Drosophila melanogaster: one gene and its partners. The protein of the gene in region 3 interacts with the protein of the main gene of each other region in a pairwise test. Each region holds a gene or a part of one and is shown on either strand. Other genes may lie near its edges. The genes, in order: CG3598, CG17580, Tsp39D and CG15282.

Region 1 (8,083 bases), on a different chromosome or scaffold from region 3:
CAATGATCTAACATTGTAGTTTACCCTTCGCTATTTGTTTTCGTAATAATGAAAAAAAAAAATTTGCTTTTTTTTTGCATACAAGTTCAGTTTATTTCGGGGGTTCTGGGATCGGTTGGGGATCTGGGATCAACTCCTTAGTTGCGACGTCCGCCACGACGACGACGGCGCATGAGGCGCACGAGCCGGCGGCGCTGCTGCTGGCGGTGTCTGCGCTGGCGTTGCTGCTGCTGGCGGCGACGACGGTTCATGTTGTTCCTCCTCTGGCGCTGGCGCTGGGCCTTGGAACGGTTCCTGTTGCGGCGCTGGCGCTGTGAGACGCGCTTACGGCTCTGTTGGCGCTGGCGGCGCAAGCGTTGCTGGCTTCGCTTCTCGGCGGCCCTCTGGCGGCGAAGCAGGGACCTGATCCGCTGGTTGTGCTCACGCTGGAGGCGCTGGATTCGGCGACGGTTGCGCTGTTCCTGCTGGAACTGGCGCCACTGGAGTTCCGAGGGGCGGACCAACGAGCCGGACTCTGAGGACTGCTGCACGGCATTGCTATTGCCACCGGCGGAAGGAGCGGCCACAAAGTAGCTCTCCTCATCGTCGTCATCATCTTCGTCCTCCAGGCTGTCATCACCTTCGTCTTCTTCATCTTCAAACGCCCTGGGCATCTCCTCATCATCTTCCTCAACATCGTCTTGAATTGCGGGGAAGGCACGACCGGTGGTGGTGTCGGAGGTTGTGGGCGTCGTGGTGCTCGTCGAGGTGCCAGTGGACGTTGTTGGTGCAGTCGGCGTGGTCGTCTCCGTAGTGGAGGTGGGCGTGGTGGTGGTAGTGGGGGCAACCGTGGTCGTCGTGGTGGTGCCCTTCAGAGATGTCAGCTTGTTGGCAATCGACGAGGTGAAGCGGGCCTCCATCTGAGCGTCGGAGGCGCGTCCACCCAGGCGGTACACATTGCGGCGTTCGGCTGAGATAAAATATTTTAAAATTATACGAAATATTTAAGGAACATATAAAGAAAGTAGTTGTGACTTGACTGACGACTTTCTGTTAATATTTGAGGACTCACCCAAGGTAGTGGATGGGGCTAAGAGGGCGCAAAGGGCCACAGCCAGACTCAGTTGAAGCAGGCAATGCATTCTGCAGATGGATTCTCCTTATCGGGATAATCGGCTTCCTTGACTGTGGATCGAGGGTTCCTAACTCACTTGTTGTCTTTGAGTTTTCACTCACAACTGACTGACAACTGATGGACTGACCCGGGATTTTATACCCACTTGGAGCTCATACAGCTGATCGATGGCTATCATCCGCCCCGCATCCCCATTTCCTTTCAGTTCCCACTTCTTGGCCAGCTCTATTAGCAAAAGTTCGCCCGGGGTCAAAGTGAACCGGGTCGCGGGTCAGAGGCGTACGAATTTTATGCTAATTTCCCATCTCTTTTGCCAAAACCATTCTTCTATCCATCGCCGAGTAGCCGATGATTGATTGACGTCAAGCCGAGATTGACCCACGGAATCTGGCTTACACAGATGTTCTGGGATGTCAGTTCTCTGCTTGCTTCAGCTCACTCAGTGCTCGGCATTTCCACACCAAAGAATGGAGTACTCAACTGAAGTCTCCAAATTCGTTTCGAAAAAATCAAAACTTAATGAAATCTCAAAATTTATAATTTACAAAGGGTTCGCGATTTATTGCATAGTTCGGAGGCAAATCTTTTCTTGACAACGATTCCAAAATATGTGCTTATCTATTTTTGTATGTTTGCTCTCCCAAAAACAATGACAAAATATAATCAGAATGCGACATCAAATTATTTCAATAAATATATATTTTAATTTTCCATATAACATTTGTATTGTACATACTGTTATTGTGTAATTATTTCGTGACTTTTTAAAACTTTCATTTGATTAATATATATATTTGGATAAGACCAAAAGTATCTTTGGTTCCAATATACGACAATCAAATGAATTTTATCTCTAAACGGTTATTTTTCGGTAGTACCTATTTTGTTGGCCAAACGATTAGCAAAAATAGTTTACTACGAAACTTTTACAGTTCTATAGAGATGTTCTCAAATGAGTTTCTCTACCATTGTTTGTATATATGTGTGTACCATCTGATTTTCGGATCCTTTATCATACAAAATTTGCAGTTATTAATTCATATATCATACTTTTGATAGCCTATGGGCATTAAGTGACTTATAACTAAGGTTGTGTCGAAGTTAAAGGATAAACTGGAATAAAGCTGAACCATGATACAAATAAACTCCATGATAAATGCAAATTTTTCTATCAATGGAGCTAAGCAGTGATCTATTTTGAGGCAAAGCAATCTTATGTATCTTATACACTGCTAGGAAATGGTACACCATATATGATAAATAAATAATAAAGTTATACAAGTAGTATACGATGTTTTACGGCAAAACCTTTAAAATAAGTTTCAACTTAATGATTCAAAACCATAGTCTTTGCATGTTGGTTAATTTCACATCATAATTTCACCACCCATAAAAAATACGAAAAAAAATATTTATAATTTTCATATCACATTTTATTTGTCGCATCGTCATCAAGTGTCTCAAATTTCTTGTCCTGATCGTTAGGGGATCTTAACTATAATACTATATAGAAATGGGGCTAGGACGACCTTCGTTTCGTGTCTCAACCCTGGAATACGACCTGTCCGCGGCGCCTCTGGTTGCCACGCCTACGGTTGCCGCCTTGGGGGCGAATGACGCGTACATTGCGCCTGCGGTTGCCACCCACTCGGCGACGCCTTTGGGCGGGGCGGCGGCGTCGGATATTGTTGTTGTTGATGCCGCGGCGGCGAATGTTCCTGCGTCCGTTGTTCTTGCGGCGACGAACTACCACGCGGTTGGCGCGCTCTTCCTCGATTTCATCAACGGATGAGGCGGATCGCTCCATAAGAGCCACCACCGCGCCATCGGGAATGGCGTCTAGGGCGGCACGAGGCACTAGGAGAGCCGCCTTGCCGGTCTTCTCGTCCAGAACACTCTGACCCTCGATCTCGATAATGCCATCGGGCACCATAATGGCACCAGCCTGATCCCGGTTAACCATCATCTGCTTCTTGGGCAGCTCATCCTGAACGTGATCCTGCTCCTGATCCTGATCATCGTCCTGTTCGTCATCAGCGTGGTTCTGCCTGTAAGCCAGACCGCTGCGGGCAAAGTTCAGGCCCAGCTGATGCTCCAGTTCCTCGTCATCCTCCGTCTCGTCATCGTGCTGGTCCTCATCATGTAGATCATCATCTTCCTCCTCGACAATTTCGAAGCCCTGGACGACGGCGCCGGCGTTGGCCCGACCCTTGGGAATTGACAGGAAGAGGTAGGGATGCTGCTGCGCCCTTTGACCCTGCACCTGATTGCGCCCCTGAACGTGCTGAAGGCGTGGCTCGGCCAAGGCCACGGCCACAAACAGGCACAAGCCCACCAACAAGATAGCACCCAGCTTGGACATCTTGTTTTTTTTTTTTTTTTTTGAAGATTTCTCGACGTAAAGTGCACAGAAATTAAAGATTTACTGCCGACCGGATCCTAATTGTAAGCAAGGCCCAAACAGAACTGTACGATCTGTGGCGGCGGCATTAGGTTTTTATGCGAAAAAGTTCTGGCCAAAAATCCAGAATCCATAATCTAGAACCCATAGAAACCGAGAAGAGAGAGCCCACTCAGGCCACAAGAACATTGGTCATAATTGCGGTCGATGTCGGCATAATTTCAAGTGGCGAAATTTTGTGGAAGAAATGTAGAAAATGGTGAAAAATAGAATTAGAAACGAATGTCAGTGACCCGCCGGTGGGACAAAAGAAAGAGCGCTGAATAAATCAGCAGCCGCCGAATCAAAAAGTCGAAGATCACCAAAAACACCAAAGGCCCAAAAAAAAAAAAAAGCGCCGCGGTCATGCTAATGACAAAACAATCAGAGACACGCACAAATCTCGGCATCCCAAGAGACCGAGAAACCCGAGAAGTCAAGGGCCGATCCGAACCTATGATGGACCTGCTCTCGGAGTCAGCGACGCATGCGAAGTGGTCGTATCCCATCCCCGGCCACCGGTCATATACCCAATGACCAATGTGAATATCGATGAAAGGGGTGTATGGTATAGGGGGCAAATGTGTATTCCAGCATCGCTGATTGATCGAGCCACGTTGGGATGGAATTATGCCTTTGTCCCGTGATTAATATGCCAGCCAAGAGGCTTCTTATGCGTGGAAATGGCCAATTGTACAGGTGAAAGACTGAAGGTTGGCCAATATTTCACATGCGAGCCCTCTGTAATTTTACTGTTTTCTTTAGTCGTGCAATAAATCTACAATTTTTGACACGGAATTTATTATTTCTTAATTAAACAATGTTGAAACTTGTTTAAAATCTTAGGCATACTGCAATATGACCAAATAGCAAGCATAGATATTAAAGTGTTTTTGTTTTCCAAGGGATTTCTCAGTTGAAAGTCAGAAAGTATGCTAATGTTTCTTTCGAAATTGATTAACAAACTTCACTTGATCTTCCAAATATTTGCTGTCATGCTGAATAGAATTCCTATAAATGTAATTTTTGTGTGATTTACTTTTTTATATGGTAGGGCTTAGAAAATATAAACATTTTGCAATTGCCTTCAGCACTTCAATTTAATTATTCACAATGCTTGGTCATAAAATTTAATTGTGAAGGTGATCAATTTTCAATCCGATGGCTTTGAACCAGCTGTTGGGTAGCAAATGGACAATGTCTCTACAGAGGCAGAGGAACTCGTAGCTAACCACTGAAATGGTGGCGGCCAGCGTGGAGATCCTGAGCCTTTTAATTTTCCAACTACTCCACTCCCGTCGTGCGAATCCCAAATTGAGGGCGAACCACTGACTGCACGAGAGGAGCACAAAGCCACACAAGCCCATCAATCGGTGGATGACGTGCAGAGCCAGGTGGGTGAAGCACACCAGGGCGAAACCACTGGCCACGGCCCCAGCGATAAGCAGGAATCCCAAAAGGCCACACAATCCATGTTTGGAATTAAAGTGCGGCTCATGTATCTTGCTCTTGAAGATACTCTTCGCGAATATCCCCACCAGTCCCAGCCAAAGTCCCACCATTCCCAATACCATGTGCAGAAGGTTGAGCCGGTTTTCGGAGATGAAGTCTCCTAACCACCAGGAGTGGCATACCAACAGAGATTCACCCACGCATAGAAACAGTCCCAAAATGGCGTATAGGGCATGCTGGCCGCTGCTGTGGTCATCCAAACCCGAGGTCTTTTTGACCATCACCACGGTTATTACGATCAGCAGGATGTGGGCCAAAAGCTCCAGAATGATCCTGTAGAGGTTCACCTCGAAAACGGCTACCAAAAGTGGCCATGCGAACTCATAGAAAACCAATTTTGCAGTGGTTGCGTTCTCCCCTTGACTCATTTCCAGATTTGAGTTTTTTTTTTTTTACCTCACAGCTTTTAGATATAAAAGTGATATTGCAGTCATGGCCATTCTGACTAATTTAAACTAATTATTATTTGCAAATAGTTTGGATAATAATATGAGTGTTCAAATGCAATATTTGCCTCGGTCCTTTAACCATTTTTTATAGCTGCCCACTGGAAACTGGAATATATTTACCAAAGTCAATTCTATATTCTTAAATTTCTATTCATTTCGCTTTTTATTAATTTTCAACAGGTTGAAATTCATCGGCAAAAATTTAAAAAGATCAAAGAAGTATTTTTAGAAAATAGAATAGTTTATTCCCTCCAGCAATTTAGGAACTGTGCCTTTAATATATACCGATATTATCTCATTTCATAAATATTCATAGTGAAATATAATTTCCAAAATGTTAGATCATTTTGTAATGCCTAAAAAAGACTTTTAACTTTCCAAGTTCGAAGAGTACAGAGTTTAGTAACTGTTTTTTTTTTTTTAATCTAGATCTGGAAATTGGTTTCAAAGTTTGTGGGAACGCATAAATTAATTTTTGTTTTTGTGGTCTTCAATTTTTAACTCTTACTAACTGTTGGGCCAAATTGGGTCATCCAAAAATTAGCATATATGTATGTTGTATATAAATTCGCTAAACGGTCTTAAATATATTTCATAAATCCGCTAATTTGAAATCGATTTTCTCCCCCCAAAAAAATGAAATCCACAAGCACTTGGGTCAATTTTATGCAAACTTATTTTATTCAAGACATTCAAGAAGTCACAGTAAAATCCGCTTGGCAACAGGCTGCGGAAACTGCTGCGAAAAATTTCTAAAATAAAAGAAACGCAAACTTAATTTCCATAAGAATGTGCCGCAGGAGAAGTTCAACGGGGTCAGGCCTCAAAGATTCATATTCAAACGAGGCAACGGCACAAAGAAAGCTGCTGTCCAGTTTTGGTTTTTCAGTTTTTGTCCAACTCCGGCAGCTGGCTAATAAATTGGCCTAAGTCCGAATTATGGGCTGGGCCCAATTGAGTTGAAAGTTCATTGCCCGTTCTTTGGCTCTTCTCAGGCTTTAATTATATGGCCAAAACCGATTCGGCAGGTGCTGACCTTTGCCTGGGGCGGGGGGGAATTTATGACCAAATATCTGCACACACGCCTAAATTGAAGAATACAAATCCAAAATACGAATCTTTCTTCGGGCTTTTCTGCCTGGCAGCATCCAGCTTCTTTAGCCAGCTTTTTGGCCACTTGCCTGAGCGTTAACCCCGGCCTATTGTCGTTGGAAACAATTAACGATCGCCTGCCTGAATAATGCTGGAATAATGTTGTCAACTGGCCAGCTGAAGTGCTCGCATGTTGGCCTAATAGTGTCCGCTCTTTTTTTTCGGGATGATTATGCAAATTTCCGCCTTGTGGCTTGGGGGCCAAAATCGAGCCAAATGTGTTGGCAGCTTCTCATCTCATCCATCTGGTATGGATCGTTGGTTCCAGCTCCGCTTGACTCGTTAAACGTTGCCCGGGGTCTTCAAGCTGGAAAATAATTTGTGTGTATATTTTATTTACCTTAACCAAAAGTCGAATGTGCTGGCGAGAGAAACTCGAGTGTTTAATTGTCATTGTTTTAAGCAAAACTTATATGATTTTATCGACTTTTAGAGTTTTAAATTAGCAATAATTGTAATGCCACAACTAATTTTGTGTAAACTACGTATTCAAATGGTCTAAAGTTAAACTTTTCGAACACATCATCTAGCTGTATTGTTTCTTCTGCTTTTAATGCTTTCTTTCGTCTTATTTGTGCAGTAATATTGGGCTTAAAGCTCGTAAAAACCTTCAAATGCGTCTGAGCCTGTCATTATCCCTACTTAAGCTTAGCGATGAGAATCTTTTCAGATTTAACTGATTTGGACAAACTTGCTAGCATCCTTGCGTTCAGCTTAAAGCTCTAAGATCTTCTTTAAAACTCGTTGGTGAAGATGAACTTTTTAAGACTTCCTTAAATACTTTGAAAAGCTAGGCGCTACAAAACTGCTTCGCTGGGTTGCCTTCGATTGATTATTATGCTCAGACAACTGTATCTACGCCAAATACCGTTAATCGGCCGACTAATTTGCATTTTAGGAATTATGCTGTCAGTCAGTTCTTTATGCTTGACCCCAACAGCAAATTTCTATTGTCGCTGGGGGAATATTAATTAAGGTGAAGCTAAAAAGAGGCGTTCGAAAATGTTAGATACATATTTAAATCGGTCAAAAGCACGGGTCTCAATAACAGGCCATCGCTTTCGGGGCACCAAATCAGGTTTCTGGCCTCTCGACGGTCAATGCTCTTAGAGATTTGAACTTTCAACTGGCCGAAGAAACGATAATAAAAAAAAATAATTATGTTTAGGTTTGCTAATAGTTTTCTCTCTTTTTAGCCAGCAAAACTTTAACTTTTTGGTTAGGCATTAACACACGCAAAAAAAAAATGTAAAAAAAATTTATTTCTTTGTGGTTTTCACGAGGATTGAAAATCGTTTGGTTTTGGTTTTGCTTATCATATTTCTTTGTTATCTTCATTATTTCAATTCGAGCTCGTTTGGGTTCGATTTTTGGAGGGCTGTTCGTTTACAAAATTAGGCTGGCAGTTTTGACTGC
Region 2 (8,189 bases), on a different chromosome or scaffold from region 3:
TGCTCCTGAGTGCTTGAGTGGTCTTTAAGTTATCTGCCGCCTGATGATGGATAGAAAATGGCTGCAGCTCCGCATCCTCTTCCAGCTGGGGGAATATGATTTATGCGAGCGCCCAGAAAACGCCGAAAGCACTTCGTTCAGTTAGGGAATTTGTTAACCTATGTAAATGCCAACAGATATATGCAGCTAAGTGAAATGCTACACCTTTACGGCTATTTTTAAAAATCTGCTTCATTAATCAACATATGTAGGCAACTCCTATAAAGCTGATATAACTTCATTTCATGACTGTATAAGTTATTAGATATATATAGAGATTGAGCGCAACGATTTTTTGTATTACAACATGGTTTGTATTACAACATTTATTTAAATCTATATAATAATGATATTTAATATTTAATATTTAATAATGATATATTCTGCCAATCTTACGAAATGGACAACCATTGACTTTTATTGTTACGAGACTACCAAATGCTGTGGCAATCTTTTATCTTTTATCCTACTTGATTGAACAATATAGCAATATGTATATATTTTTTAAGGCGTTTTAGTGAAAATTAAGCGCACTCCAATATCAGCTGCGTAATATGGATGTTGCAGTTTTACGATTCACTACAAGTACTTGATTTTAAATACACATTTCCGATACCTGCAATCACAGAGGTCTTTCATGGACTATTTGGCCGGGCTGTGACTTTAAGCACATTTCCATAGAACAACATGGTAACAATGCAGGACCAACGCAAATATCGAAAGGGAAACACGTGCAGGCGGCTCCCGAATGGCGACAATCATTACAAGGACGATGAGCATAAACAACACAGCAGCGGCATCCTGACAGACGGAAACGCAAACACACGACTCACACACTCGCACTCTCACTCACACTCACATGCATATTATTTACATGCCACAGCACGTGCGGCTGTATTGTATGGCACCATTTGTAAAGCAGATACATATACATATGTATATATGCGGCACAAAAAACTCCCACATTATGTCAAATGTTTTGTATGTCCTTTATGGAAGTGGATATGTCAGCGCCCGTGGATTTCGTCCTGGCAGCAGTACGTGCCTGTTGAATTGGCGCCCCAGCCCCGAATAACTCGGATTTCGTTCGCATTTTTACTGGCCAATCGAGCACAAATTAAACCCGGATCAGGAACCTGGCCAGAAGCACTCGAATCAGCAATCGCTGGCTAAGCACTCCGGCGACCGTTCTCAACCTGAAGTTTTGTCCAGCTTAACTTGCAGCCAAAGTTTTTCGTTTTCTGGTAAGAGAGAAGTAAGCACAATTGGGTCAATACACAGCCAAATCGCTTGTACTTGAGCCGGTGAGATTTGTTGGCAACAGAAAGGGGGAAATGGCTAACAGAAATAGCTGAGAGAAAAAACTAAGGAAACAGCAAGGATACATAGTGAAACAACAAGAGCGACACAAATAATTCCCAAGTCCCAAGTCCTTGACTTTTTCAAGTTCAATTTCGCTTGGGGGGCTGGCTGCAACATTGCGATAATTGATGTCTCGACATTGTTAATTATCTCCTCAAAGATGTTGGAACGTAAATAATCAGCTCATCAGCCGCTTGCTTTGTGAATTTTATAACATCACCTGTGACATCTGATTGCCTGACCGAGCCAACACCAAGATATGTTCAATTATACTAATGATATTATTTCGACATTACGCATACGCAGTGTGTGCGTCTAATGGGTGGAAGCTCGTAAAATACAGAGCAAGCATTAAGATATTATTTGTGGGCTAGGTCTATTCAGTCGATGTCGAGTGCAATTATTTGCAGAATATTTAGTTCAGGGCAGGGTGCTCTTCACATTCAAAATATTCAGTCAGCCAGCCAGTGCCTTCGGGATATATTGTGCTGTATAATTTATCTAAACAGCACATTCCCGTCCGAAAATTTAAAGCCACAAAGTGTCAGACTTGACTTGCTGCGGCTGCTGCTGGCAATAAATCTTAAAGTTCATTAAAAAGTTTATTTATATTTCACCTGCTGTGTGCGAACGAAAGAAGTCTGGCAAGTGTCAAAGAAATAAAAGCTCGAATTGCCGACAAATCTTTGTTAAGCTTGACCTTGACTGATGGCCCCTCTCATAAGAAGTCGTTTTAAGATAAACCCCCAACGCACCGAAATAAATAACTTTTGTCTCGTTTAGTAGAAGCAATCAACTTCCTAAGCTGGTAATTTAAATAAAATGTGTCGTCATAAGTGTGCAATTTTAGTTTATTTATTAAAATTAGAGTTTTAATTCAAATTGTTATTTTAATTACAGCAATAGCATAAATATGTGAAATAAAAATCGTTGTACACTTTTATCAATGAATGCCATTCTCCACTTCGTTAATTAACACCAAAATAAATAGGGCCAGTGAATAATCGTAGGATTTTTTATATGCAACCCAAAATATGTGCATTCACTAGCTTCATTCAACTAAAAAGTGTTTCGCCATTGAAGAGTCAACCAGAACGCCATCAAAAGGAAGCGCTCCAATAAGTTTGAATAGCATCACAAATACACACGTCTACATGCACAAATGTATCTGCATGTGTTGCTGGAGATTGCGCGGCTTCGGCCTTGCTTTTGTAATTGTTAACAATAAAGGAGGCGGTCTAGTGTGGGGTGGGTTGTTTCATCCGGCTTTAATTAAGATCCAGCTGCTAGAATTCATGTATGACAAGTATTGGACTGCACGTAAGTTGATAGTGATATAACCAAGCTTAGCATATCACAATTCAAACAGGAGAACAGACAAATGAATAACTTTACATATGAATCTGCGAAAAGATAAGCTGGTTTATACTGCAAGGCAAATGAAAAATAATATTACAAACCCAATATTAATTATCTTCACCAACTCTGTGGAGTATATATAAAACAAACAGGCAAATGTAGACTGCGATGATAAAAAGTAAAAAGATCAAACTGATGTTTCGACAAGAAAACATAACTGGTGTATAAGTTTTAATTAAATCTAATTTGGGAAATAATTTTAAATAGTTTTCTTTAATATCTGCTGGCATACTTACTCTCGCTAAATGTAGAACAATTGCTTTCGCAGGCCAAGCTGCTTCAAATTAGTTGAAGTTCAATGGGTAATGAATTCCGCCATTTCCGTGGAAGTTTCTATATCGCCAGGAGCACTCAATCGCAACGGACGTCGTAGGAGGAGCACTCACCGAAGTCCGACTTGAGGGTGAAGTACATGCCCACACCGATGCCGATGACCATGATGAGGACTCCCAGCCAGTAGACCAGGCGCCAGAAGGGCCATGACGATGGTGGCTTCTTCTGGGGTCGGTCGGATCTCACCTCCTCCTCGTCAACTTCAACTCTTTGTGGTTGGCGGCGCAGCTTGTTTCCCATTTCCCTGGGCCTTTAACTTTCTGTACGAATTTGCTTCCCTTGGGCGATAATTGATTGGATTTTCCCTGGCAACTCGACAGCAACCGAATGATAACATTTTATTGAAATTACTTGAGCATCTCGTAGGCTGAGATTCATCTCCGATGGCGAAAACTTCTGGCTAATTATTTAAGTTAATTGGCCTTTGTCCGCAAAAGGCCTGCCCAAGCCATGATGATGATGATGGGGTGGTTAGCATTGGCCTGAAATATTTGCTCGGAGGCCACAAAATGTCTCGCAAATTTGTTCAAATTACTTGGAACACAAAACAAGAGTCGTCCGCCACTCCTCGAGATCCTTGCAGGCCCAAGTCCGTGCATAAATTTCAGAACAGGAGGTCCTGGGTGGAATACAAAAGGACTTTGTTTGCGGTCGAGAGATGAAAAGTCATTTCTCTCCATTATTTGCCAACTAATTGGTTGGTAGGACTTGTGCATTTATGTTGCTCAAATGTTTGCCCAAAGAATTCTGGAATTTGGTGAGGTGTCAAGTGGGTCTACCATCACCCTGACCTTTTGCCGTATCAATTAAATGGCCAGCTGGTCAACTGGCCAAATTGAGCAAATGAAGGATGCAACTTAATAATGGCATTCTCGTATATGCGCATATGTATGTACATATAATGCCACTTAAGCATGCCGTAGATCTCATTCTTGCCATGATTTAAGTGCATTTCGATCGGCTTTTCCAGCTTTTCCCCGTGGCTGTATCCTTTGGAGTGCTGGCGATGCCATTACTGCTTCAATTTCAGTTTCTGTTTGATGTTAATGAAAGTTTCCGTCGTGCAAATAAAGCCAAAAGCATGGAAATCAGTAAAACAAATTGCAATCTGCTTTTTATCGCACGTCGCTGCATGACTGCTGGCAGCCGGCATTTTCCTTGCTCCGTCATCGATTGCCTGGCTTTCCCCTCGACTTTTCCCTTTGCTGCTGGCCCGCCCGGCTATTGACTTGCTCATTATGGCCCTGATGATGACTGCTCTCTTGCCACAGCTACCGTTCGTTCGTGTATAGTATCTGTGTGCTTTGGTTCCGTTTCGTTTCGTTTTCAATTTTACTGCAAAAAAGGCATAGATCTCCTCATTCCGCACCCGCATTGGGGGTCGGCAATCAGGGCGGCATAAATTGTTAATATATCTTAACGGATATTCAATTTCCGTCAACCAAGAAATGCATTAAATTGGTAACAAAGCTTAGCCGCTACAACCGAACGATGGCAAAATTGTTAAGCTCCAGCGGGGTATTATTAAAAATTCAAAGTCGTTAGAGAATGGCAAAACTTTGTGCAGTCCGGGCCAAGACATAATAATAATATAGAGCCGGAGTGGAAGGACTGAAAAATAAAGAATGGCCAGGACAATGGGGAGACAACAGGCAAACTATGAACTGGGAAACTGAAAAACTGTGAGAGTGGGAAACTGGGAAACTGCAAGACTGCGAAGCTGAGATGCCGAGAAGCTCAACTATGCCCAACTTGGCTGTCCGACTGTTTATTTTCACTAGACTTCCTCTTTCCCTGGGCTTCGGCCTTATTACGCTTGGCGGCCCATCATCTGCATGGCCTTGGGGTGGGCGGTGGTGGCGATAAGTGGGCGGTGCAGATGGCAGGACGAGCAGGCAAGTTGTCAACTAAGTTTGCAACAATAATCGCCAACTTCACAGGACCTCGAATGACAGAGCTGAGGCAGCAGCAGCAGCAGCTTTCAGATAAAAACCAGAAAACAATAAGACTTTAGGCCGACTTTTATTCAGTCTTGCAAAGTTCTCCACCTCTGGCACTGCAGCGTTTACCCTCGAAAAAGCAAAGGTCCTCAAAAGGAGCAAACAGCAGCAAATAGGCTGTGCTGGCAAGGATCTCTTCAGACTTTCGAGACGTGGCACAAAGGAAAGATTGCTTTTGCTTTTTGTTTGCTCTCCGACTGGAGATTAAGAAGGATTCAAAGGGTGTGAGAAAATGCGAGCAGGTTAGTGTGTGTGGCCTGTGGCATACATAGTTATTCTTTGAAACAAATTATACATTGCCATTTTTAATCTAATTTAAATGTCGCTTTTAATTGAGAAATCCTGTAAACGGCTCAATATAAGTTGTGTGGTGACACTTAATTTCAACTTTATGCAATTTTCACCTTTGGGCCAAAATCCGATTGACAATTATTGGCACTAAATAGTTGCATTTCAATTTGAAACACTGCCAATGACGTTTATACATATAACCATTTAAGAATTAAAAGCATATAACAATTACATATAAGAATTGAAGTGAAATTGCAGATGCTATAAAAAGTTTTCAAATTAAATAAATCAGTTGTTAGTTTTAAATTACCCAGAGCATAGGTTCGTTGTGGAGTCGCTTTCAAGCATAATCCCATTTAATTAAATAAATCTGTTAGCCAACTTTTTGCTCCACCGAACTATTGAATTAGTTTGAAAGCGTCTATCCAAATTCTGGCATTGTCGTGCTGGTGTCCTCAAAAAAGAGCAAACGCGCTGGCAGGATAGTGTGCGTGGCATATGTAAATTTCCAGCTAATTAAAATTAGCATATATTTCTCTCCGCATATAAGTATATGTACATATATGCGTATAAAAGGGGTCGGAGGGGCACATTATCTGGCTGTGCCGCAAGAAGACGCGGAAAACTACGCGCTCAGAGCTGATTAAAAGCGAAAGCTAACAAGCGTTTGCTCTTTGCCCCTTCGTGCGGCCCTGCAACATATGGGTCTTGCCCCCCCCAAAAAACTGCACCCACTTTGCCAGGGGCACCCTTATTTCTGTGTCATTTTGGCTCCGCATTAGGGTCGTAAAAATTTATTGTAACTTTTTTTCAGGGCGCCCATGTTGGAGGCAACGGGCTTAAGGCATTATGCCTTTTAATTAAACCGTTGAGATGTGTGTCAGCCATATAATAAAATGGAATGGAGTAAAATTTTGCATACATATGCCATACATATATGTAGATGTGTATAATCGTTTAAATTGTTGTTGTTCTCCCAGAGTTTTGAGCTGGCTTTGGTCGATTACTAGGCTTGGATATTAATTATGATAATAATGTGTAAGCGCTGGCTGGCATTTTAATTGCGCATACGCCATGTTGCACATTCCATAAAAAATGCATCCGAAAGGAAAACGAAAAGAGAGGAGTAGATCTGAAAAAAGAGCGCCATACAATTTCATAATAAAAATCTTATAAATTAAACAATTTAAAATTACAAAATGCACTAGAGCTGCTCGCATCAATTCGTAGCTGAGTTCACTTGGCTTATTTTTCGAGGATGCATTGTCCTCGCTTAAGTCCTTTGTTAATTGCCGGAAATGCAAATGGGTGGCAAGTTGAAAGAGAATGGAGCTCTGTCGACCATAAATGATTTCCATTTTAAATGCGTGCGAACCGCTGCTCCATTTTGCCATTTATTTACATTGGAGGTGAGCCAGCTTCCTTTTTTGGTTCCCCACTTTGCACGCAATTTTCATTTCTTTGGCCATCGTTTGTTCCTTTTTTTTCCTTTTCTCGGCTGGGACAACAATTCGCTTTGGCTTCACACCAAATTTGATTTCATTCGCAAGACGCTCTCAGGTTAAATGGTGCAGAAAGTCCTGTTGACTTCTCGACTGGCTGACCGACCCCCAAGTAGGATCTCGAAATGAATTTAAAAGCCACCTTTGTGCACGCTAAAAAAAGGCTGTTCTCCAAATTATGCACAGGTTATACAAATAGAGTGGTCTGTTGAGTAGTTTTGAAAGTATTAGCAACGTGGAACTTTTATTTATTCGCTTCTTCAAATCGAAATGAAAAATCAAATCAATCGGATTGTCGTATAAATTTCATCTTTTTTCTGTGTAAGCAATCGAATGGCCAAATCCCGTCCGTTGTATCTCAATAAATAAATGTCACGAATTCTACATTCCAATGCGAGCCATCCGAGCGCCCTCCATTCGCTGTCAATTTGTATGCTCTCTGGCGCATTTGCATAACAAAATTGCCATGCATTTCTCATTCCTTTCCGATTTTTTGCATTATTTCCTTCGTTTTTTTTTTTTTTTTTGTGAGAACCCGCACTTTGAACTTTTGAACGCAGACCAAGTAGCCGAAAGAGTAAGTTATCCATTTGCAGCTCAGCAAGTTTTGACTGCAGAATGTCAACAAAATAAATGCATAAATAAGGGGATCATCGTGTCAGTGGAGGGGGCGGCTGCCCCGACATGCCCCTCACCCCGCCCTCGAAGAGGTCTCAATATAACGAGATGATGAAAAATGTTTGAGTTTTGCATTATTAAAGTTCCTCGCTGGCAGTTGGCAACTTTTCACGTGCTGATAAATGGCCCCCAGCACTCGTAGAGTTGGTTGAAAAAAGAAACGAAATAGAACGATAACTATTCCATCTGCACTCCGGGTGCGAACATCTTTCAATTGAAATACATCTCCATTCTCCTCCGGCTACCCATACATATATACATATATGTGTATATATAGGTGACTACATATGTGTTCGTGTGAATGGAAGTGGAATAACGAGTGCATATTTGCTTGGGGCTGCCAGGGGGAAATCATGCCATTTAGTTTGCCTTGGCACTTATAATTAATTAAACATGGATTACTTGTGCAGCCCCCCGAAAGTCCATTAAAAGATTGCCTTATCCGTTTGGGTTTTTCTTTTCACATCAATCCATTTATTGTAAAATACGCCGGTCTAAGGGCCAAGCTTTCTGGTTTTCCTTTTTTTTTTTTAGTTAGCTTAAAGTTACTGGACATAAAATTAAT
Region 3 (9,338 bases):
CCTTTTTGGTGTAGTTTCTATTAGATTTTGTCTAAATCATTGGCTCGACTCATGTAAGTCTTTTCAACGATCTTTTGTGAAACTGATAAAGTTTTAAGGCCAGGTTAAAAGGCTGATAGGATAACTAAAATCAAAAATAGTAAGTACATTGAATTTAACTGTGGGGTTGTATCCACGACTTATGTCCCATTTTGATATGGGGAAAATTAGTCTTTATTTGTATATCAAAAGTACAAATAGAATTTTAACTTTGAGAATTGGTCAATTATTGTTATCTCGATCAGATATAAATATAGCTCGAAATTTTAATAGGTCTAAACTGTTGTTAAACATATTTTTACTTGATAGATGAATTCATTATACTCAGTTTACATCGGTTGCAATTTGCAATTTTACAATATTATTACTTATTTTAAGTTTAGGACTGAGTATAATGTGTTAGTTATGAAATGGGTCCCTGATAAGTTAGTAATTTTGTTGCAGCGGAAACCGCATCGACAACATTAATATAATATTTGGGCGGTTGAGGCTATGGCGTATAACGCAGCCCGCCGCTTTACTTCGCACCACGAAGTTGTTGATTGATGGCTGCAAGGCGCTCTTTGTAGCGCTGCCGGTCTTCCTCATTAGTTGCCGTCTTCAGTAGTTCGATGTTGAGCCTCCGGGCGCTGAGCAACTTAATCCGGCGGCCACCCCTCTTCTTTTTAGGTGGCTGCTCCCTCGCTGCAGTCCGTGCCTTGTACTCTTGTATGGTCAAGGGCTTTGGTCCCGCGGACGGATCTACCTCTATTACCTCTTTGATACTTGGCAGATCCCTTTGCTCGACAGGAGCAGGGTGTTCGAACGTCTGCTTGGTAGACATTCGCTGTTGTCATGTGCGGCGCGCCGGTGGAATCCTTTATCCTTTATCCTAATCCTACCCTCGCAGGATGCCGTGCTAATTGCTGTTGCGGCTTACAATGGTCGAGGGCAGTCGTTCATGCAGACGTCGGGTCTTTTCGGCTTGGGTGATGTTGAATTTTCAGTTATTTCTTCATTGATTATTTCTATTTTTGCTGAGTGAGTTGTGGTATTCGGCTTTCTTTGCTGGAGGTTTTCTTTCAGAAAGTCTAATTCGGCAGTTAATTTCTGTGCCGTTGCCCATGGGGGCGGTGTTTTATTTGTATATCATAGCCACTTAATATGTGCTATACCTTTATTTTTGATTTCCTGACATCCGCGTTTGCCCATTACCACACTCTACTCACTCAGTATTTTTGTTTCTTTTTTTTTTTCATCAGTGTCCCGTCTCTAGGTCTCCCGCACTGGTGTAAGGGGCGGCCTGCCTCTCACACCTGTTGTCGCTGTTTAGAATTCCCAAATCAAATCGGCAATATTAGCAGCATTTCCTCAGTAGTCCTCAGATCGCAGGCTCCTGCCTCACGGTCGCCATGTAATAAACCAATATATGCCACCAATTGAGAACACGTGTTTTCCTTGCAGTTGGGTGCAGCCGTCAGGCCACCTTTTTATTTCTTCTTATCTCTTCGAGTAGCAGAAACGGTTCTGCCCGCTTAACCTCTACAGAGTGTCTAATCTTACCTAAATACTGCGACTGCGCCGCCGTCGACAGCGGCAGAAGAGCAGCGTATATATATATGTATAAGAGAGAGAGAGAGAGAGCTTATGCGCATATATGGCCAGCGGCCAGCGTGGGGATGCTGACTTAGCTTAAAGCATAAATGGGTGATCTTATATCACGCTCACTTGAGACATTTATTTATGCAATGCAACTAAGTGTTGCTGTGTACTTATAGGTACAGTGTACCCTCGATATATGCACATACTACATGCTATAAGACGCGAAGAAAAATAAACCAACTGCCTAACGCTATTTAAGCTCGTATACGTTTAGTATTCATTTTTATCCGTACTCTGTTAAAGTGATAATCATAGAACAAGATTCAAACACACCGGTCTTTTCATTATTCCTGTATGTTATTCTGTATGTGTAAGCTATTCCCGGCTAACGATATGGATTTCCTGTATTGAAGAAGTTTTAAAAACTTTTTTCCGGAGTTATTTCAATGTACAACTTTACCGAACCTTTACAATGTCAACTATTACGAGTATATACAAAATACATTAATTTAAACAAATTTTGCATTAAAAAACTGTTAAATGAATTTAAAAAGCAAGAATGAACGAGTTCCTCGAATATCAGATACCCGTTACTCAGCTTAAGCATTTAACATCCTTGTTGGCATATCGATAGAATTTGGAAAGAAAAGACTATTAAAAATATGAAAAAAGATCGAAATATTTTCCAAAAGTGGGTTCGCGACAGGATTCGGCGGGTTTTGTGCGTTAGAGTGGGCATTGCAAAAAGTTTTTTATCAAATCGACAGAAATTTACAAAACTAACAAGAGAGAATGCGAGAATAGTCGAGTTCCCCGACTATCAGATACCCGTTACTCAGCTAGTGTGAATGAGAACGCGAAAGTATCATTTATTTTGGGATATCAAGAGATATTGGGAAATAAAATGAAAAAAAATTTAAAAATTGTTCAAAAGTGTGGGCGTGACCGGTTGTGCGGTTTGAGTGGGCGTGGCAAAAACGTTTTTGGCAAAATCGATAAAATTTACAAGACTAATACATATGTGAACAAATATCAACACATTTTTCAAAAGTGTAGGCGTGGCGTTAGAGTGAGTGTGGCAACATGGGTCAAACTTGCGCTCCGTCTATGTTTCTAGAATCTGTATGCCTTTTAGCTTTTATAGTTCCTGAGGTCTCGACTTTCATGTCCAGATTGACTCGGCTATGGATCCTGATCAAGGATATATATACTTGATTTGGTCGGAAACACTTTTCAACGAATCTAGTATCACCTTTTAATCTGAGTAACGGGTATAAAAATAGGAAAATATATCAAAACAAACAGTGGGCGTACCGGTTTTGGGTGATTTGAAATAAACTTGCACTGCGCCTATGTCTCTAGAATCTTTATGCTTAATCTCAACCTTCTAGCTTTTATAGTTTTTGAGATCTCGGCGTTCATATGGACGCATAGACATTCGAGCAGACAGACAGGGACATATAGACTCGGCTATTGATCCTGATCATAACCTTTGACTCTACGAGTAACGGATATATAAATATCAACACATTTTCCAATGGTGTGGGCGTGGCAGCTTTGGCAGGGTTTGTGGGCGTAGCAACATGAGTAAACAAACTATGCCTCTGAAATCTATATGCTTAATCTCAATATTGTAGGTTTTATAGTTCCTCAGATCTCCACCTTCATACGGACGGACATGGAGAACGAAAACTAGGAAGGACAGGAATACATATGTACATACATACATATGTATGTATATTGCGCTTGCTGTAATAGTTGTGTAGTTTGAATGAGTTTGAACTCTGCACTGAAATAGGTCGGTTTTTAAATTATTAGTGCCACCCCACCACCAGCAATAGGCCAAGTATCGGCATTCAAAGCAATGGGAAAGGAATAGAAGACAAAATCGATAGCTTAGAAATAGTGTCAGCTGCGTAAAAAGTGGCTACACCTGCCACACGGATGACAATGTAGGGTAAAATACACACGTCAGCCGTATATTTCTTAGTACTGCGTAATAAACCAGTTTGGATATACGTATGTGTTAAGTGTTAATACATACAGAAATACTTTATAAGGTGGAAAAAGCGTTCTTCTACCTGTAACATCCTTTTAAGTGAATTCTTACTCTACGATTACCGACCATTTCTAATACTTTTTAAATACTTTAGCTTGCAGAAGCAAGCATCCATGTTTATTATTATATTATTATATTTAATATTGCTACTACATTGTACAGTGTTTGGTAGTGTTCCCATTGCTGAGTTAATAGTTCCTTAATTGATTTGCGCCCAGGTACCAGACGACCGAATTTGGAGAGCAGTTTTACGGTCCTGTCAGACTTATTTATATTAAACCGTTTTTAGTTTAAGCAAAATATGAGTTTATGTTACCTTGAAATTAAACGATTAGTTTGATTAAACCTAACCATTTATCTCTAACAAAGTTAGCTATTTATTTGAGACGACAACCAAATCCTGACTCCTTGACGAATAGTGCGCTAGTGCGATCTGGCCACTGTGCGTAACTGGTGGTTCCCGCTCTCACCAATTGTCATATTCATACACGTGTATTAACATATGAATCAATGTCCGCCTAGCGGCTTTATTGAGAGGATTTCCCCATGTCCAGCTGCATGTGTGCATAATGATGCTTCTGGTTGATGGTTGCGTGCCGTCGCCTACTTCCGGAACCCGCTTGTAGGCGGGTGGCGGATATATATAGGCATTACCCACACTTCACGAGCTTTTGACTGACCGTTTGTGTATCTCCAATTAGGCGCATCCCAGCACCTGGAGCACCATCCACTACGACTTGGAGCAACTTCGCGAGGCATGTATCACACCGGACCGCAGCTCCTGCTTGCCGCAAGCACGCAAACTAGTCAACAGAATCACTCTCCACACTCTAGATCTCAGGTAGCACAGGGAGAAGTGCATATTGTTCGGTCGCATCCCTCACTTAAACCACTTTCCACTCTCCCACCAACATACATACACACAATTACTCCTCTAGGGCAATACTAATACCAATTTGTATGGCGCAAGGGACCGCATCATCTATTGCAGCTGATTGGTTTCACCCAAATATTTATACCTTTCAAATTTAGGACCAGGACGCAACGGTTCGCTTGATTAACTCGCACCCGCGCTCTAATCAGAACAACAGCACTTTCGATGGATGTTTTCAAGTGAGACTTGACAAACAGTAGAGCTACGATGTGATAATTCCAACGGAGGTATCGATAGCGCATGGTCATCGATACCTCACGCCAATCAACGATTGCTGAATGACTCCACTATTTGTTATCTTATCCCGGTGCTGGAAACATTATTTCAAGAAAATCAATTTTGGTTAATTTTCTTTTTATTACGTGTTGATGCTAGAACCGCTTTTTCCCCTCTCAGCAATAAATCTTGTATTGCCGAATACAAACGCTATTTTAATGTTGGTCTTTTCGTAATTATGTTTAATATGAATGTTCAGTAGCAATTGCAGGTGATTTTGAGTTGCCATACCAACATCTACACAGTTCGGGAGCTGCCATACTGCAGTATACAGAAGTCGGGAGTTGCCATAATTTTTTACTAAAGTAGACTGGATTCGAATCGTAGATAAAAATTGTATAACCCAGATTGATTATAAAAGAAGCAATGTTAAGTTTAGCTAAAAGGAGATTCGATTACTGTCATAAAACTATGTTTGTAGTGAAAATTAAAACAGGATTGTATTCAATTTTTGCATATACATAAGTCCCTGATGACATCAAATGAAATGCCAAGAAAACGAATGCAGTCGGACATAGGCATATAGAGTCGTCTGGAGATTCCGATCAAGAAAAGAGAATCAGGAACATTTACATGATATATATACCTTCCTCCCATTAGATAAATCCTCTTCGCTTTCGCGGTGGTTTATGAAATATATATAACTTAGCACGTTCTCTACTCAACAACGCTTTAAAAAATTTCCACCGTGTTTTAGCTCTCCTTTTGCTTTTGATTTAGCCCTTAAACCAACCTTCTTGGCAAGAATAAGGTGGAATCGGTTTATGTTATATTACACGTTACACGTTACACGTGGGCTTGGAAATTTTGTGATTCTTGTGGGCGTGGCAACACGGACATGGCTAGATCAACTCGGCTTTTGATCTTGATCAAGAATATATATAAATTATATAGTCGGAAACGCTTCCTTCTGCCTGTTACATACTTTTCAACCAATATTGTATACCCATTTACTCTACGAGTAATGGGTAAAATAGAAGTGAACCATTGTTGAATGGTTTTAAATTAAAAACCTAATGATATTATAAATACATTTTGCCCATTAAAAGAGTATATCATAGGATTTTTTCTGTATTCATACCAGGACTTTGAAAAATTTGATGCTTGGGGATGAAAAGTGGTAAAAGTGTAAAAGGATATATGTAAACAAGAGAAAATGTTATACTCGATTTCCCGCTCATCAGATACCCTTTACTCGGCTAGTGGAAATTCGATCGCCAAATTTTATAATTTTTCCAGGATATCGATTGATTTTGGTGAATAAAATGAGAAAAAATTTAAAAATTATTGGCGTGACAGTTTTGTTCGTTTTGTAGGTGAAAGAAGGGTCGTGGCCACATTGTTTTGTATACCGATAAAACTTGGCAAGACAAATAATAAAACGGAAAATTCTAAAAATATTTTAAAAGTGTAGGTGTGGCAGTTTTGGGCGGTCTTTGGACGTTGAAGTAGGCGAGGCAAAAAGTTTTTTGGCAAATCCATAGTAATTTACAAGACTAATAAAAATATGAAGAATTATCACAGAATTTTTCAAAAGTGTTGGAGTTCCGGTTTATTCTTTACTTTATTAAATAATCTTTGCTTTAAACGTGAGAATGTATACATATTATATTATTATATTATGTATACATATTACAGATTCCATATAATTATGAATTTGTTATTTTTATCATTACTTATTTAAATATTCATATACTTTTCTTCACTTGTACTAAGCAAATGCTCTTCAAAATAGGCTTCTCATATAATTTACAGCACTGGGAAAACGTTTCTAATTTTTGAATTAATATTTGATCCTTTGGGGTATTTCTATATAACATTAAATATATTATATGAGTCTCTTCCTGTTCATTTACATTGCACACCTATGGAGCTACACATCTATATTGCGAGTTTTATTTACGAATATATTTCGTCCTACTTTGCGTATATTTAGCACAATCGTAACAGAATTTTTAATGTTCTCCAATCTGTACGATTAAAAAGCACTTCGCTTAAGAATATTGCTATATAGACCCCGCTCAGAATTAATTTCGATATCTTCGCTTAATTGCAGATTTTCAGCTATTCCTTCTAGGCTTTTCACTTAAGTATAAAACATATCTGTATGTATATACATAAATGTATTTATATGCGAAATTCACCAAAAATAAACTTGTTTTTTCTTGGTAACAGTACTCTACTGTCTCAATTATCTACCGGTAACATTTAACCACTTCAGTTAAACACAGGTACATCGATTGCAAATTGAATAAAAAATAAAAAAGAATAATTGTACAATAGAAAGGATTCCCGAGGAAGTGAAAAGTTTTATTAGAACTTGCATTAGAACTTTTTCCGAAATGTTGTGTTTAAACAAACACACTGACACGCGGGCTTGATTGACAGAGAAGGTTTTGAAACTCAGTTCAGAATCTTGCACTGCTTCGAACAAATCGATGTTTTGGAGTTTGTGGAAGAGCTTAACATCCTGCGACCTACCCAAAATACGAAATCCTGACTAATCAAACATAATAAACAAGCTTAACTCGACACCGAAGAGGAGAGAGTTCCCCCAACTACAATTTTTTACTTAATTATTGCTAAGACCCCAGCCACCCTCACTCACTCACACTTACAAGCCCCCTCTCGTCGCATCAGCCGACTTCACCACCCACTGAGCACCGTTATTTTATTACTGTTTACCGTCCGAGCGTTACTATCGACGTCCCTTTCCCGCGTACAGAGTCTTAAGTCTGGCGACCCATAACGGAAATGTGCCAATTTTAGTTTCGGTACGTTAATTGTTTTCCTGTCCGCCCACACACCCCTCTTACCACGTTTTCTACTCTTGCATCCAATGGAAGGTTTCAAGTGCATTAAAAAGATCATGGGTGGTAAATTAACTTATTGGGGCGTCACTTTGTAGACCGTCGTTCCTCAGACGGCAGGACCGCTAGTTAACGGTAATTGATTCAATGTTTTTGCTGCTATTACAAACAATTATATGTATTTATGCACACTATATACAGTAAGTCCTATGATATACATACATACAGAATGTCATATCGTTTCAAAATTAGGGTTGTAAATTAAAAAAGACTTTAACAAAAGAACTAAGGTGATAAAGCGCTCTTAGCTTTAGTATTTTGCATGAATGTATAAATTGCGATATACATACATACAAAGATACATTGATATATAGGCGCATAGCTAATTATCTAAGATCGATCTGGATATAAGTTTATACATACATATATACAAAACTTGAACCATAACTTTAAGTACAATCGAATGTTAGCCTTCTTCATGGTTCTCTTTCGGAAAAAAGTGCACGTGAAATTAAGCTTACGACTAAGTTTCGCTAATTATAGGCTTCCGTAACTTATAAATAGTTGTAGGTCTTATCTAAAGTATACGTATTTCTTGATATTTAACAGATATATTTTTAGTAGCCGGTTTTTTTCATTTTAATTATCAAAAATGTGCCTAAACTTTCAGAAGATCATTAAAACATATACTAAGCTCATCAAAATATTTGTAATCCACTTCGTTAATCTATCTGTTTATGTTTTAAAGTATTTTATTTAGCTTGCTAATACCAATTTGTATAATTAGACCAATAAGTTATTCATATTTCATGGCATGTAATGAACAAGAAAAGGACCCACGTGTGCAATCTAAGGCAGTCCTGCTTGCTAAAGCAGTCGATTTCCTTGGTGCTTCCTACATCAGTCAATTTACTGCTTGCAAATGTCCTTTTCTCTAGAACTACGTTTATTTATGTCGCGGCACTCAAGTATGGCGTACTTGCAACAAATTTAGAAGAATCATTTTGAAAAGTGAAGCTCATTCTTTACTTCTGTCATGTTTTGAGTTTCTCCCGAAACCAAAGTCATGTGTTCTTCCTATATTCGCCCAGTAAATCTATATCAATATAGATTTCATAGGATCGAACATGCTCTTTTACAAGTTTACAATTATATGACCAAAATTATAAAACTAATTAAATTAAATATTTTCTGGTTAAGTTTATTGCAGAAATCTTCCATAAATGACCATTTTATGAAAGCATAATAACTAACAAGGTTTCGAACACTCAAGCCGGTGAATCGACCGCACTGGGGTTCATAAATATCGTTTTTGAGCGCTATACATGTGTGCAACCATTTTCCAATTGCGGTTTTTACGTTCGCGGAACCACCGCGTTATGGATGGCTTACAGAAACTCTCGAAAGGGCTCGTCGAAATTATCATTGATATCAGCAAAGCTTGGCGCATTGTTGCACACCCCAACTCCCACTCCGACACCAACCCCTATTCCAATTCCCAGGCCCACCGATGTAGTGCCATTTAGTACAAGGCTAGGCTGCTGCTGCGATTGAATGCTGGCCCCTAGATGGCCATGGCCATGCATCGCCTGCTGATGGTGCGGAAGATGGCTGGCTTGCTGTTGCTGCTGCTCCATCG
Region 4 (7,563 bases), 6.6 Mb from region 3:
ACTTTCCACTCTCCACCGACTTCAATATAATCCCCAAAGTGCGATTTTCTTACGACCCAATCCACATCGTTCTGGCCCCACAGTCGACTGTCATCAACGACGTCAAAAGCGCTGCCCGCTGAGCCAACAATTAACAATTAAAACCCCAAAGCGCACAACTCAATTTTGCAATACACACAGAGTGCGAGTGAGGCAAACACTGCAATGGCAATCTCATAGATACGTATATAGTATATATATCTATATATATATATATCTTTGTATATATATTCAGCAGATAGCAAAGGATAGATAAGGGTAACCCACAACAACAATATTCCGGCACCAATGGGCACTATTGCCACGGCTAAGTTCCCTGTGTGCTCCGTAGTCGCACTTACAACTAAAAACTTGTTACGTATTTAATTGCAATTAAAAAGTTGTTTTGTAGTTACGAGTGTTGGTGCTCTTGGCTTTCTTGGTGGATGGCGCTGGCTGTATAGCTGACTGGCGTTGTTTTGTCAGACAGGCAACTACAGGATGGCTTCGAAATTGTCTCCAATAACAAAACCAGAACCAAAACCCCAAAGACTCTGAAGCCGGGATGAAGTCATTACAAGGCGAAATGAAAATGCGTGGAAAAGAAGCCAAAAGGGTTTTCCGCTTAATGACTTTGATGGTGTTTCGGTGCTTTCGGATAAAGGAACCAAAAATGCCACCGACCCTTCCACACCCACTTGCTCTCCTCTGATTTCAACGATAGCACTCATTAGAGTTTTGCGATTTTTGGCTTAAAACTTTGGCCATAACAATTGGCCATGGCCATCATCGCGATTTTGACACAAAACACGAAGTCATTGCTGAATTCACATCCAAATAGCAGGCAAATTGTCTGCTCCTTGGCCTCGTAAACAAATTGTTTGTATTTGATTTCGTGTAATTTTATATGACAAAGCGTTATTGCTTTATTAAACTAAAATTAGCTTGGTTTTGCATGAACTAGTATTAAATATTTAAACTAGGATTATAGAAAAGCATTATTATGTCTTGGTTTATAATTGTGTGTTTTTAAAAATATTTATTTATCGTGTGTTTATCTCTACGATCATGGCTTTAGTTAATGGCTTGCTTTTGAGTTCTATAGATAGTGGTCAGTCTATGTCTAGTTTCCCTCACTAAGGAGCTTTAGCCGAAGAAGTTAAATAGGTTCTCCTGCTGCTGTTGCTGCTGACCTCCACCGCCTTGCTGCTGCTGCTGTTGCTCCTGGAAGAACTCCACTCCGCCGCCGAAAGGACCTCTGAAGATGACACCCTCCTCCTGCTGTTGCTGCTGCTGACCACCGCCAAAGCCGCTTTGCTGCTGCTGCTGTTGTTGTTGCAGACCACCTTCAAATCGTTCAATACCCCTAATAATTTGACCAAACGGACCGAACTGGGCCGATGCAAAGGCGAGGAGCGCAACAAAAACGATTATCTAAAAAAATAATACATACAGTACAATACATTTAGTTTCAACTAAAAAATAACGTAGATGTCTATATTAGCCAATTTTTAGCGAAAAATACCGTGAATTTCATGTTGAATATTGAAAATATTCCTCAAGCGAACAATCTTATTTCACCGGAATGCTAAAATCAACTGTTTGAGTTTCGGCTGCTGGCTATGAGTATTTATCTGAATTTTTGTTAGGCTTTATGCCCATTCAAAACTGGTTGAGCACGGTGCGATCGCCGCTCGGACTTCCCTGTTCAAATCATTGTGAACGTTTGTGTTTATAGGGGATTTTTTCTGTTGTTGAAAACGTTCAAGTATCTGGGGTTGACGGGCCCACTAAAAATACAGGTTTGCAATCAGCTCTTCTTGGCGTATGCTCTTCGCTAATCAAATTAGGTTTTTTGTTAAATTATTGCTGTCAGAACATTTGGTTATTTCACAATTTTGCATGAGTCAGTATCTGCCTTTGGTTTTTATGCCAACATCATTTGCGAATTATTCAAGTGTTTGCAATTAATGTTGTTATAGCACAAAAATGTCATTAACCCATTAAGTGATTTTCGATTAGCTAAATAAAAACAATTTTTTATGTTGAAACACAAATTTTTAATTTAATTTAATAATTCATTTTTCTTGATGTTGCTTATGTCCAAAAAAATAAACCCAAACGTATTTATAAGCAAGCGAAATAAATGAAGGTTACTCATTAATAAAATCTCTGTCGATCTAAAGGCCTACAATAAGCCATTGTCAAAACATGTAAATGAGTATTTAAAAACAAAAACTGTTTTGTGTTTGTTATACTAATACGTTCAAATAATTTATTTTAATTTTTAGTCGAGGAACTAAAGTAACAGCCTTAGAAGAAGCCTCCTTGTTGCTGCTGCTGCTGCTGCTCGATTCCTCCAAATCCGCCGAATCCACCGAAGCTTTCCTGCTGCTGTTGCTGTTCTCCGAAGCCTCCGAAACCGCCGAATCCTTCTTGCTGCTGCTGTTGGCCACCGAATCCTCCGAATCCACCGAATCCTCCATATCCGAATTGAGGAAGCGCGGAAGCAACGGCGATAAGGGCCACAAAAACGATCACCTGAATGGCCGTTTATTATTTTTATAAAGTCCTTAATCCCTGCGAGGTGTAGCTCTGGTGGCCAAACTTACCAAGAATTTCATATTGAATTTGAAAATGAATTCAATTTGTACTAATATCCCAGAAGATGAGGATGCTTCGATGTTGCACTCGATACTGTGCCCTTTCTGTCACGTCTTTCTCTATTTATACGATTTTTTTGAATTCATATAATGTTTGAATTTCGGAGGTTCTTTACCCGCACTGAAATAAAAACTTGTCCCAGACACTGGACCAGACGTGGGGGCTTTCCTCACAGGTGACCAGCGTTTCTCTTCCAATCCGGTTTTGAATTTGTTGTGGTTATTGACCGGTTTCCATTTTTTTTTAGGGGAACAGGCGCCAGGTGCGTGGCTTTTGATATGAATTTTAATAGTTTGCCAATTTATATTTAAATAGTATTTTTACTGAATTTATGACTAAGCTATTCAGTTTCTAGAGGCACGTTTCCAAGAATCAATATATTGAACCCAAACTAGACGTTGTTGATGCTACTTGACGTTGTTGATGATGCCTTTGTTTCTGGGGTTCTCAAAACAAATTTGCTTCCTTACTCTAATGTTTACCATAGAATCACATTAATGTGTTACGTGTATATATAATTATTGAATCTTACTGAGCTGGACATTTGAACAAATCACCCCTTCCAATTGCCACATTTATATCCGGGCAAAAGTAAATGCAAATGAGCGTAAAAAAAACATATTTTTTTCAATTCGGTTACATTTCGTTGAGATAAACAAATTCCATTGACATAATCAAAAGAAACTTTGTTGTTTTCTTATTTCGTTGGCGTTCACTTCAAGAGCGGTCCAAACGAAGCGAACCAAGCTCACTCAATAGATAAGTGTCTCGATGGGGAATCACCTGCAGCGAATGGGGAATACTGGCGACCGGAGACCGGAGACCCTGGAAATTTTACCGTACCTCGACGAGGGTGAAGTGAAATTGCATTTGGTGTGCGGCGCCAGCGGCAATCGAGTTTGGCAATACGTGTTGCCTTTAACTTGGCTCTTAACCCTGCCATCCGAAAAGAGGGTGATGCGAAAGACTGCGACGACGAAGACGGTGCCTTTTGGCATACTTCAGTGGAGCGCATAAAACCCTAAATGAATTTATTTGGCTCATTTAAAGCAGCTAATTTATTTTTATTTCATCGAATTTGTGTTTAGTCGGGCACCACAAGTCCCTCTTCCCGGTTGGCAAGTAAGCTGTTTAGTGTGGGTACTAGTGACTTTATCCGTTTAATGTTCAAGTAACTTACAACGCAAACTCGCTCAACTTAACTTAAATCAAAGTAAACCCTCTACTTCAAATAAACCACCGCTTCAAAACTAATCATATAGCCGTTGCTTTTTGGAAATGTGCAGTAATTTTGGTAAAATGTCTAATGAACCCTTTTCGGGAGGCCTAGGCCCTTAAAATTGCAGAGCTCCGGGGAAAACACTCTGGGCCAACGTCTGCGTCGCGTGTCAAAGTTGCAACATTCAACATTCAACGCTCTTTGACTCCTTTGATGGTGGCCCAACACGACACCCAAAGCCGTGCACTGAAATTTGTTCAAATTCATTTCAATTACCGTCAATTTTCAATAATTTTGTTCAAATTATATTCCATTAGGTTCCATAAGTTCAAAAAAAAAACACTTTGCATAAACATAATTAGCCTTTTGCTTACAACGCAACATTTTTGGGACATTCTTTGCTCTTTTAAACTTTAATCGAGCTGAATTTATAATTAAATATTTGCGTCACCGATAGGTAAACAACAAACTGTTGACTACGTTAGTTTCTTGATTTACGTTAAGTTGGTATTGGCGAATGAAAGAAAGGTTAAATAAAATAGTAAAAAAAAAACATTTAAACTATTTAAGATACACATTCTTCGTTATATATAGTTCAGTAGTACCCTACGTTTCCAACCAAGCTGTTTTTTTTTTGATATAACTACGTTTAATTTTAAACTTTTGGCACTAGTAACTTGGCTTGACTTCTTTGGCACCCCCGTGCGACGCAATGTCTTAGGTTATTTGGGTGGCTAGCAATGCATTAGCCCAGTCAGAATGTTATGCCCCACCTGCAGGTGGGTGCAAATTCCTGGAGCTGAATATGTGGGGTGGCGTGTGGGTGGTTCCATTTCCATCCATATGAATTTCACATGCTTAAGCCGCAAACTTATGTGCGCGCACAGCTTGAAATCCAAGCTCACGTAAACTCAACTGGAAACTAAGCCCGAAAGAAATGGTATTCCGAAGAGGAAGATGTCGGCTCTTCCGTATCTGGTGCCGGGAACTTTCGCCAACATGTTAGCAGGGGCTTAGGACTTAGAACTCGACACTCAACAATTTTTGAGCCAAGTCAATGAGCAATTGACTGCCAACGCACCGCCGCCACCTGTCCATATATAGATATGGCAGGAACCTGCATATATTCGTGAAAACTTCCTTGCACTCTGCGGGCATCTGCATATTTTTGCGCAAATATGTTTTAATATGGGTTAGAAAAGTTTCCCACTGCACTCGCATCGCTTCGAAGGGCGGCGAAGTTTTCTTTATTGCCTTTTGGCCCGCTTTTTGCCCTCACCGCGTTTTTTTTTTTATACTAAGTGCACTTCCGGCTGGAACGCGAAGAAAACTGAATTTTACTTACAAAACCAAACTTGGAAGAGATTTTTGTAGGCTTTGACTTCATATTCATAATCCCAATCAGGAGTGGCATTCCCTGACCCCAGCTAATTTTAGGCACATTAAAACCAAAAGAGCCCCAAAAAAAGGGCATTAAATCCGTAAATGAACCAGTTAATAATACTAATAATTATGCCTTGTAAAACTTTTTATTTATCTATGCAGTTCATTACAGTCGTGCAATAACCTTGCTTAATCCTTGGTAAGAATTGATTAAAAACTTAGCAACTTAATTATTTTGCAGCTAATTTGTGACTTAAACAGTAATTTCGAATAATTAGTAATGCCGTGCAATTTAAATTGGGAAAAATAGCATGTAAGTTTCATTGTAATATAAGGACAAGACATTTTAAAATGAATTTCGGTACTTCATTTGTGCCACAGTGTCCTCGTCCTACTCGCTAATTGTATTTCTTCACCTGAGCAAACTTTGGCCTTTAATCCCTTCGCCCTGCGACCAACAAAAGCGGCCCGCACTTTGGGCCTCACTCGAAGATTATGTCGCCTTGGATTCGCTTAAGTTGATCCCGAGTAGTTTGCAGTTGGGTAACCAAGTGAAGATGCATCTGCGGCCGAGGAACGTGAAGAAGATGCAGACGAGGGGCTCTTAAAAGTTTGGTTTTAATTAAAGGAAATTTGCGTGCGTGGCACTTGATTTGTAGTTTTCCAGCACTTCCGTGTGTGCGGGCATTTTCCACCTAGGCACCACCCTAAAACCCCATAAAAAATATAAATATAATTGAAATTCTAAATTGCAATTGCCGCAAGTGCTCCTCCATTTGCAGATGCCAAGTTTCCGAGTTGCCAAGATGCTCCGATGCTGCAAATGCTGCAAATGCGGGCCTTCTCCGGCCTCAGTTCTGGGCAATTTCTTGTACCCGCTCGTAATTAGAAGCAAATGCAAATTTACACTTTGAGTGTGTCGGTGATGACGGAAGTCATTGGTAAAACCTGAAGCTGTGGGCGGGCAGAAAGTTGGCTCTGCCGTTGGAGTACTTCGGTTTCCACTGTTCGTTGCTGTGCCGGTGCAGATATAATGAGAAAAGTTTCAGGTAATGCAAGGACTCTGCCAAGGATGAAGGACTATTGGTTAAATCTATTCCAGTACAAACATCCTTATCATAAGCTTGTTTTAAATAACTGATTTGCGAAAGGTAGCTTCGAATAATTCATTACTCCACCTCACTAGTGTATTTATATCTTACCCATATAATTCATTTCACAATCATCACAGTTTATCAATGGCAAATAACAATACTTTTTTGCCACATCCTAATTTGCGTCACAAAATATTTTCTGATATCAGAGTTAAGATTATTAACACATAGTAAATCATATCTCATTAGATCAAATATTTCCCAAACCATCCTCTTGATTTAAATAATAATCACATTGACATCCATGAGCGCACCTCAGCGTTCGAGTTTATTTCCATACCAATCCATCTCGTTCTATACAAATGCACCTCATTCATGGCAAATTAATTACCGCAAAGCTATTAATCAACAAAAGGCGAGATAACCGGCAGATAAACGCGTCCTTGCTTTTCGAGTGGGCGGCATGCTTGGCGGTGTTGGAAAGGGGGCGTTGAGAAAAACCCCCCACGAAAAAGTTAATTTGGTGTATTAAGTGTAGCCGCAGTAGTAGCAATAAGTTGTAATGGCCACAGGACGATAGACATCAGTTTCGGTGGTCGGTGTGGGATAAAATCCTTTCGAGCGTGAAATGTCCGAAATGGAAATGGAATTACCATTTGGTGAGTTTCCTCTTCTGACTTTTAACTGATGGGCAACAAGTGGAAATGAATGAATGACTGGGAGAAAGTAATTAAAATCGCTTCGTTGTCGGCATTGCCGCCTATCTGTGGCAAGATGAGACAAAAACTTTTCCATATTTCAAATCGAGATTTCGAAACATTCGTTTCGCAGTCACCAAACTGGGTTGTCAACGATGGCTTATAAGAGGCATTGCGGTTGAACGCATTTGCCTCAATTGGCCTTAGAATTGCCATGCACCCCCAACCCATGGAATTGGGCTCCACAGCCTCGTTTGATCTACTTCTTAGTTGGTTTTTGCGTCACAAGCTTTTTGATGAGACAGAGAGACTGGGGCAACCGCAGGTAAATGAGTTTTGATATTGACATGAATTATTCGCCTCACTTAGCCCAGCAAATGGGGGCATGTTTGATAAGTATCTATGACGCACTTGCAAGTATTCTTAGGCATTTCTATTTGTTGGGGTAGCACTTTATAAATTAGCTTTTAAAATTTCATATACTTCT

Evidence for each region.
Region 1: the proteins of Tsp39D (region 3) and CG3598 interact in a two-hybrid assay, tested with the Drosophila melanogaster proteins (one large-scale study listed by BioGRID).
Region 2: the proteins of Tsp39D (region 3) and CG17580 interact in a two-hybrid assay, tested with the Drosophila melanogaster proteins (one large-scale study listed by BioGRID).
Region 4: the proteins of Tsp39D (region 3) and CG15282 interact in a two-hybrid assay, tested with the Drosophila melanogaster proteins (one large-scale study listed by BioGRID).

What each region holds. Positions count from the first base shown.
Region 1 is NC_004354.4:2,932,521-2,940,603, reverse strand, and holds CG3598 (uncharacterized protein), read right to left. Parts: upstream 3,578-8,083; 5' UTR 3,477-3,577; coding exon 2,658-3,476; 3' UTR 2,531-2,657; downstream 1-2,530. Other genes in the region: CG14420 (uncharacterized protein), read right to left, coding at 138-949, 1,052-1,121; CG3592 (uncharacterized protein), read right to left, coding at 4,685-5,434; CG32793 (uncharacterized protein), read right to left, coding at 8,062-8,083.
Region 2 is NT_033778.4:12,801,902-12,810,090, reverse strand, and holds CG17580 (uncharacterized protein), read right to left. Parts: upstream 3,478-8,189; 5' UTR 3,394-3,477; coding exon 3,172-3,393; 3' UTR 3,057-3,171; intron 3,002-3,056; 3' UTR 2,862-3,001; intron 2,805-2,861; 3' UTR 2,280-2,804; downstream 1-2,279.
Region 3 is NT_033779.5:21,340,097-21,349,434, reverse strand, and holds the start of Tsp39D (tetraspanin 39D), read right to left. Parts: upstream 4,829-9,338; 5' UTR 4,699-4,828; intron 1-4,698. Other genes in the region: dimm (dimmed), read right to left, coding at 9,088-9,338.
Region 4 is NT_033779.5:14,707,821-14,715,383, reverse strand, and holds CG15282 (uncharacterized protein), read right to left. Parts: upstream 2,914-7,563; 5' UTR 2,798-2,913; intron 2,742-2,797; 5' UTR 2,643-2,741; coding exon 2,631-2,642; intron 2,560-2,630; coding exon 2,332-2,559; 3' UTR 2,266-2,331; downstream 1-2,265. Other genes in the region: CG34165 (uncharacterized protein), read right to left, coding at 1,165-1,452, 1,544-1,555.